Linked DNA regions of Saccharomyces cerevisiae S288C. The gene in region 3 interacts genetically with the main gene of each other region. Each region holds a gene or a part of one and is shown on either strand. Other genes may lie near its edges. The genes, in order: YGR016W, COX5B and YGL262W.

What was found.
Region 1: mutations in YGL262W (region 3) and YGR016W together harm fitness more than expected from each alone (negative genetic interaction), as found in Saccharomyces cerevisiae (one large-scale study listed by BioGRID).
Region 2: mutations in YGL262W (region 3) and COX5B together harm fitness more than expected from each alone (negative genetic interaction), as found in Saccharomyces cerevisiae (one large-scale study listed by BioGRID).

The regions. Positions count from the first base shown.
Region 1 is NC_001139.9:520,392-523,333, reverse strand, and holds YGR016W (uncharacterized protein), read right to left. Parts: upstream 1,074-2,942; coding exon 501-1,073; downstream 1-500. Other genes in the region: YGR016C-A (uncharacterized protein), read left to right, coding at 1-88; EAT1 (putative hydrolase), read left to right, coding at 1,258-2,244; MSB2 (Msb2p), read right to left, coding at 2,471-2,942.
Region 2 is NC_001141.2:153,130-156,294, reverse strand, and holds COX5B (cytochrome c oxidase subunit Vb), read right to left. Parts: upstream 1,074-3,165; coding exon 1,073-1,073; intron 985-1,072; coding exon 530-984; downstream 1-529. Other genes in the region: HPM1 (protein-histidine N-methyltransferase), read right to left, coding at 1-250; HOS4 (Hos4p), read right to left, coding at 1,449-3,165. UniProt on the Saccharomyces cerevisiae protein: Component of the cytochrome c oxidase, the last enzyme in the mitochondrial electron transport chain which drives oxidative phosphorylation.
Region 3 is NC_001139.9:3,740-6,472, reverse strand, and holds YGL262W (uncharacterized protein), read right to left. Parts: upstream 1,162-2,733; coding exon 634-1,161; downstream 1-633. Other genes in the region: seripauperin PAU11, read left to right, coding at 1-183; COS12 (Cos12p), read right to left, coding at 2,541-2,733.

The DNA.
Region 1 (2,942 bases), 520 kb from region 3:
TCCAATTGACATGGTTTTGCTCGCTCACCTCATTGGCATCATCTACTTAATTATAATTCTAGGTACATTGGTCATGTTGTTTTCTTGATAGATATGCAACGCCTCGAAGACTATTTAGCAAGCTATTATATTGAAATTAGAGACTTCTGCACTAGATAGCCTTTTCAAAACATACGGATAAACTGATCTTTTAACGTATCTGCACTTTTGTACGAAGCTGGAAAGTTCCGAAGAAAGTGTTAGCTCCAAACTGAATCCTCTTGTAAGCTATTCTATGTCCCCTTTGACTAGGTTAGTCTTTTACTGGATTTTAAAGCAGATTCCTGTGACGATGATTTTGGAATTAAAGCTATATATATGTATGCTTGAATAAGCTCGTAGCAGTACTTTTTGGCCTTGTTCACAAATAAGGAGCTGCCAACCAATCAATTTGTAATATTAGTAATAAATATTCCGGAATATACTAACCAATGAATATTACAATACGTCGCGATATAGAACTAAGCATTTTTGTATTTGTATTTCAAGCATCTTAGATCTGCGATTTCATCTTCGATATTTCGAGCCCATCTTTTCACAAGCACAGCGACCCAGAATAAAAACATTGGAACTTGCAAACAGAGCACCGTTTTTTTATCTTCGACCACATGATTGAAACTTATCCAAGCCATAAGTACTAGTAAAATAATGTTTATTATGTTAATAGAAAAATTGCTCACTCTTAACTTAAACTTTTTGAACAAAAGATAGTCGTTTACAATATCATATCTAAGTGTGATGCACGAACAGATCAAAGAATTAGCGCCAGCAAGAAGTGCTAACTTAATATACCCTCGCGATTTTCTTACGAGTATCATTAGCAGTCCGCCATATAGCAAATACAATATGCTTAACAGGTTTATGTACAGCTTATTTGTGATGTGAGCATTAGTCTCAAATTTTTGTATGAGTTCTTCCTGCTCTTCTGTATCTAATGGTAATATGGATACATCTTCTTGATCAGATTCACCGTCATGAGTGTAGTCAGAACTCAAGCTTAAGATCTTTCTATTGAATCTTCTTAATCTGGACATGATTGAAATATTTGCTTTATCTTAGTATCCTGTTTAAAAATTATTCTAAACTCAACCTATCATAGAAACCAGCCTTTACTGAATACCACAGCGCGTCTTTTGGGGAAACTGTTTTTGTCTCATGCCAAGGTCGAGACGTATACAAACTGCAAAATAAAAGGAACCGTGGGAAGAGGGCTTACAAATGTCGAGACTAGCGCATAATAAAGCGCTACCTTATAAAATAATTGTCGATTTATCATTCCATAGAACGCGTTTACCCTCAGATGTTTCATCGCTAATAAAATTCGAGCAAAGACCTGCAATTATTAACATCCATGGCCTTTTGGGCTCACACGTGATGTTTCATTCTCTCAATAAGCTTCTTTCAAGGAAGCTTGACGCGGATATTTTTTCTGTTGATGTAAGAAATCATGGCATTTCACCAAAAGCAATACCTTATGACTACACTACACTGACCAATGATTTGATTTATTTTATTGAAACTCATATTGGCTTGGAGAGACCTATTTATTTACTGGGATTCTCTATGGGTGGTAAAATTGCATTATTAACCACATTGTACAAGAATATTAATATACGAAAGTGTATATCAATTGATTTACCGCCTTATGAAACCCCAGAATTAGATCCCATGATATTACAAAACTATGACTTAATAATGCGGATTATCCGCAGAGATGTCAAGATTTTAAGAGGTTCCCCCAGCTGGCAGAAAAAAGTTCTTGAGCTTTTCAAAAGTTTGGAATGTAATAAGAGGAAATGTGGTGGAGCTGTGGCACTCTACTTTGCCAACGGTTTTCTTTCTGTAAAATCCAATAATGTACACCAAGCACAGTTACACTATGAACAACAACAGCATGATCCTTATATAAATTACTCAATGCCTCTCTCCAGCATGCCGAACCTGTTGGATGAAGTGAAAAAATGGCCGGATCTATCGAACCAAAGGGACTTCTTCCAAAAAGGCACAGCCAGTCGTAAAGTTTTATTCATGAAAGGCCTGCAGTCTAACTTTATTAACAATGATTATTCCCTCCTGAGGTATAACTTTCCCTGTGCTGATGTCCGAGAATTTAATACTGGGCATAATTTACTGTTGGAGAATCCAGAGGACTCATTCAAATGTATTCTGAACTTTTTTGCGGAGGAGACGCTGGATTTTGAATAAAATCTTGATGTACGTAACGCACTTTCTTCTCGTGTCAGGCCCAAATCAACGCACACAGCAGTGCTTCGATCTTTGATTACAAAGTAGATAATGATAAATGGAATAGATAAAAGTATTAAAACAACGTCTCCTTGAAGGAGAACTATACATAAGATATGAAATAAGTAGGTATCGTTATAAGTTTATAAGGTTATGCAAGCGGAGAAAGTCTCTGCAGACATTGCTATCAAACTTCGTTCCAACCCAGGGAGTTTTGGCTAGCAATTGGTCTTGAAATTTTTGGTATGGAACTCGATGTATTGTGCCTGGTTGGAGTTGAGTCATTATTTGTCAACCCGTGACCATAGTAACTATCATCCATCCAATTTTGAATTCGCATAGATTGTGTTATGGATTCTTGAACGCTCATTCTCTTTTCATTATTGTAATTTTTCTCTCCACCAAATTCACTTGAACTGATACTGGAAATTTCTGGGTTCTTGATAATTTCTTGACTTTGAATCCGCCTTCTTATGATATACTTGAAAGCAAAAATCATGAATAAAATATATAAGCATCCACCAACAACAACGCCGATAACTAAACCAATGATTTTTTTCTTTGATTTGCTAGAAGTGGATACGTTGGAGTTAGATTTGGATGAATATTCCAAAGTACCGGCATCTTGATAGGAATTTCCGGAAGATGAAGACACACCG
Region 2 (3,165 bases), on a different chromosome or scaffold from region 3:
GTTTTCTATATATCGGAGATTGGAACTCTTCAAATGTCAATCTAACATCCTTAAGACTTTCCAATATTGTTCCTAGGTCTTCCACATTTGGCTGCACAACTCCAGCTTGCGACAAGAAATCCGAATCTAATGGATTGATGTAAGCAGTGGTATTTTCGTTTTCTTTGCTGCTTTCAACGAATGTTTCAGGTTGAGCAACAAGCTCATCATCATCAAAGTCATTGGAAGTAAAGCCGAAGGAAAATGACATATTTTAGCTACACAACACTTCGGTTCTGATTGTCCTTTTCCTCCCCATAGAATCGATGACTTGAACATTTTTATTTTTTAGATTGGACTTTTTTTTTTTCCAATTTTCCATGATTATTTTTTTTCTTCTTCGAAGTAACAATGAATGATATTTGCAGAAGAAGGTACAAGGAACTAAGTAATCAACCTACTGAACTAAGACCAAATGCGTATATATGAAAACAATCTACTTATACCCCAAACACGGAATATACGAAACAATTTTATTTTCCTCGTCTACTTATTTAGATTGAACTTGAGAATAACCTCCCCAAGGATTGGCATTTTTTGACTTCAGATACTCGTCTGATTTCAACTGCCATTCCCTGTTCATAGTCTTTGGAGTTTCAGGATTGGCTAATAGTCTCACTAAACCAAAGAGCCCAAATGAGATTCCTAACCCTAAAAATACTCCTTTAGTTATAAATGCAACATCGCCTTTTCCGTGTACAGGTCTTCTAGGTCCCCACTCGCCGTAGGATATGTACCAAGCTGCTTTGATTTCCTCGTTATTGAGAGTTTTCCATGGAAGCTTTTGACGTTCTGTCAAATTATCTGCAATCTCTTTCTGTTCTAAGTTTGGCATATTTTCCCATCTTTCGGGCAGATCTGTCAATGTTGCCTTCGAAAGGGCCTTTGTTTGAACAAATCTTGTCCCAGTTAGCCGTGCCCCTTTAGTAAGAGAAGTACGCAACACTGCAAAACTTGTGCTTGTACACCTCGAATGTTAGTAAATGGATATCTTTTAAAACTCAAAACAAAAATCAGTGTTTGTTATACATGCTCTTTACAATGAATATGTGGCGTTATTCCATTGTGAAAGTTTCCTGCAAAGAATATTAAATTGAAATAATTGGTCTATTGTTTAATGCAACAGTCATTTATAAAATATAAATCAAATGAAATTCGTCTTTTTTCGTCTTTTGCACGGTATTTTCTGAACCCCTCAGTAATTTTAAGGGGTCCATGACATTTTTTCGAGTACTCGTTCGTTGCCTTATCGAACAATACAAAATCAAAAAAAGAAATTGGTGAGTGTCATGCCGATATAATAATGACAAAACAGTACGATTATATGGAATTATGTTAACATGAATAGTATTTAATGAATCGAAAATGCAACTATGTATGAGCATATGCCAACGGACCGATGAATTGTTTTACCAAAATGGTTCTTTGGATGTCTGCTGGAGGACGGAGGATATGCTCATACGGTGTTGAAATTTAACCGGTAACTCTCGAGGTATTTTTAGAGAACGCTGTTTGCGCGTCGGCTGCTGCGCTTTGTTCAGCTTATCGTTTCTCCATCGTGCAAATTCGTTTATTGATATTTGAATCATATTTCCTTCAATTTCTTTTCTTTTTGCGTGGTTTTCAATAACAACGTTATCCCATTTAATCCACGCCATGGGCAAACTAACAAATTTTTTGTACTCCAAAAGCTCATACCCAATCTTTGTGTCCAAATCAACCCCATCAAAGTTTACAACATATCTTTTATTTTCCATGTTGTTCTTTTTATCATCATAACTACCTCCATACAGGAAAATGAATTTCAACATATTCCACAATGGAGTCAGGTGCGAGGGATCGACGGGAATCTTCTCAGAAGTTGGTTGGTTGTCCTTTGAGAGCAAGTCGATATCCTTCAACAATATCATTACTTGCAAGTCGAGCACAAATTTATCGTTTTTTTCGTCTACAAAATAATATAGCGGCAAAAATCTTTTGTAATCAAGTTTATCGTTGAAGTTAATAATCTTCAGTCCTAACGGATATAAGTCCCTTACTGCCCTTCTATAAGAGATTTCTTCCATTTCTTTTTCCCTTTCCATTTTTCTTGCTTTCTCTAAAGTAGCTTTTTCCAATCTTTCCATTTCTAAGACTTTCTGCTTCTCCTGTTCTTCGATCCTTTTTTTCTCATCTTCGGCCAGCTTTTGTAGTAGTTCCTGTTCTTTTTTTCTTTTCTTTTCTAATCTTTTCTTTCTGTATTCTTCCTCTTCCTTGAGTCTTGCTTCTCTTTCAGCAGCCGTTTCTTCATGTATTTTACTTATCTCTACAGATTTTGCCTTCTTTGGAGAATGAGGTTCCATAGAGAGTGGTGAGATACTTTTTAATTTTTCTTCATCTTGCAAGGCATTTGTTTTACGTTTTTTCCAGTCCAATGAGTATTGAGTACCAACATTTTCATTGTCATCCAATCTCTTGCGCGAATCCGAAGTTGTAGATTCCTTGACATCACGATCGTTATTAAAGTCATCGTCTGCCAGATTGAGCATCCTCGTATCGTCCTCTTCGTCTTCAATTCTAGGAGTGGCACTTCTTCGGCTTGCTAATATGGGTGATTGCGTTTTCTCTCTCTTTTTTTCATGTTTATATGTTTCATTATTATTATCATCATCATCATCATCATCATTATTATCTTCAGAGTGCTTCTTCAAATAGTTATTTATAGCATTTTCAATCAATTGAATTTCTTCACTGTTTGTTATTCCCATTATGCTGTTTTTGGCATAGTACAAAGCGGTACGACCCTTTTTATCTCTTTTGGTTGGATCTGCACCTGCCTCTAATAGCAGTTTAACAGTTCCAAGATGGCCACGACCTACAGCTACCATTAAAGCGGATGTTTTATTATCCCTTGAAGTTTGATTTACGGGAAATCCGAATGCCAAAAAGATACTTGTAATATCTTCATGGCCACACTTAACGCTTTCGAAAAATGACCTTAAGTCTATCTTACCACCATTTTCTACATACGTACCAACGTATGGTAAATGTCCCTCCTTCGAAGCTTTAAACAGTTTTTCTTTTCCCGCTCTAGAAGTAACATCTGTCCAATAGAATTCCTCTTCCGGAGCTTTCTCATCAATATTG
Region 3 (2,733 bases):
ACCTACCCAGTTGAAGTTGCTGAAGCCGTTTTCAACTACGGTGACTTCACCACCATGTTGACTGGTATTGCCCCAGACCAAGTGACCAGAATGATCACCGGTGTTCCATGGTACTCCAGCAGATTAAAGCCAGCCATCTCCAGTGCTCTATCCAAGGACGGTATCTACACTATCGCAAACTAGAGACAAACGCCTTTACGAACGAAATTCTATAGACATTGGTAAGTAACGAAAAATAAAATATAGAAATAAAAAGCTCTTTTTGATGATATAAATACAAATTGTAGATAAGTGTAATATAAATAAAAGATCTGACCATATATTTAAGCCGGAAAAAAATCCCAACACCAAAATAAAATGTAGAATAGATGAATAAATAAAATTTTCAATTATAAAAATAGAAAATAAGTTAAATTTGACGGCTCCATTTCTATTAAAATTGAAAGTATATGTGAAAAAAAATCATGCTAGGGATGTCTCTCACAATTCAAAAATCTAGGAAATAAATTTAATTATTTGATATAACATTATAAATCGTCAACAGAAGCTTTTTCCTAAGTCTTAGTAGTCAATGCTTTCAATATTTGCGCATCTTCTTTCATTGATTTAAAGAAAGATTGAAAATGTCTGGCTTTATAACTTTAACATCAAATATAATGATATCGTAGTAAGGTTAACCTTTTTTTTCCAATATTTCATAACATAATCGCAGATGGCCTTTACCACAATTGTATCAATAACCACAAGCTGTCTCTTCGCATTGAGCACCATCTTTGTTGTCATTACAGAAGCCATCAACCCCCCATATGTGTTAAAATATAATTCACCGTGGACAGCATTTTCATCTCCAATGTCAGAGTAATTCTCTTTATATCCTGGATCAGGATTATCAGTTACCGACCAGTAATATTTCCACCCTGGATTATTTGCGAACCAACCGAACATGCATTGATCGTCCTCCTCCCCAAGGAGGGGCCTACTTTTTTTTACCTCTTTATTAAGATCAACATTTACATTGTCCCAATTCCATGATATCCAATTGACGTCAAAATAGCTTATGCGTCTCTGCAATGAATGTGCCCCAGAAAGAGTATCTGGTAGCGATCCAGGTGTTTGAACACCTATTATACTGTTGACCAATTCAGTCACATTATTACGCATGTGAGTGGCACATGAAGACCCAACTGACTACTAAAATATCAAACATGCTGCATTTCTGTAACTGTGTTATTTTGTTCTCTCTTTTCTAAGCCATTAGCCTTCTATGTGTTCATATAGTCAAATGCTCCTGATAATACAAGACCAACTGTTTGCATGGTGGTGTTGATTGCAGTGAAATTACGAGGACTTGAAGAATGGAAGTCTAATCCAGCAATAGTAGCAATATATCCAGTAGATCTTTTTTGCCGCTGCTGCCGTCAAAGCCGCTGCCCCAGCAATCGTATCAGCAGTGGTAGCAACTCCATCTAAAGCATCTGCTACCAATGTAACTACAGCTCCAGTCCAGCATGAGTACTACCTGAATCTGCTGTACATTTGTTAGCGGCGTATGCACCGGAGAGTCCTGCTAGCGTAATTGAAAATCCACTGGCACCACCTGCTAACGCCCAATAGTAGTTTTGCCTTTCATTAGATAACTAGTCACCACAGGTGAGGCAATTACCGTAGTATTAACTATAGCTTCTGCATCTCTTGAACGAAAATAATAAAAGGAAACAGCAAATACAAAGATGAATAGCAGTATATTGCGTCTCCAAACTCTCCAGCAGATCTGAAAACGCTTAGCGCCTATTTTCTCTTGACCAGTCATGAACGTTAATTTCTGAAAAGGATCTATCTCCCGCTGGGATACTGCTACGATATTTCTGTATAATAAAAACTCTTGGAGAAAAGCAGTCCTTTAAATAGTGAAAGTTCACCGTAAGATTTCAACAGGTGTTTCGCCCCTACTCAAGCGATAAGCAACGCACAGGTTGAACGCGAGATATGTTAATAAAAGGCAGACAGATGTCGGTAATAATTATTACGGACATTATTTTGAAATATTAACTCAACCGTATGAACCAAACACGACGATAGCTGCAATTTCTTTAATGCGTACTGTATAGCAACGTACATCAAGTAAGAAAACGAAGTACTCCAAGAAAATGTTAATAGTAATAAAATTTATTATGGGTAACTCATACCTTAACGCAGTACTAGAATATACATTCGTTACGCGTTTGGTCTTGAAATAGTAATAATATCTTTCACGTAAGGTGTTTTACAAAAACTACCGCATTTTCTCTCAACAAACGTTAAAGGATGTTGGTATGAGGAAAGAAAAACGTATAAAACTGGTTACGGTATGAGCTTCAAGGAAGCTTCAAGTAATCTCATGATATGGCGACCGTACAAGCACGTACTGTGTAATTTTATTACGATGTATAGTGGCACTCTACAGACTTCATCAAATATTGCATTATCTACTAATGTTTAAACTTGGGTTATTAACAGCTTTTTTTTGGTCTTTAAGAATAGTATATCAATATCTTTACCAATTACACATCATTGCAAGCTGATTGTGCTTCTTTTATATATGGCCAGAGTTCAAAATCAGTGGAACCAACTGACAAAGACGCTTGCGAAGATACAGGGGTACTGAAATACCATTTAAAAAACTTTTCACAATCAATACCATCTGAGAACAGTATTGGCGAATTCCAAATTTTCTGCTCAAACATGTAAGTATTC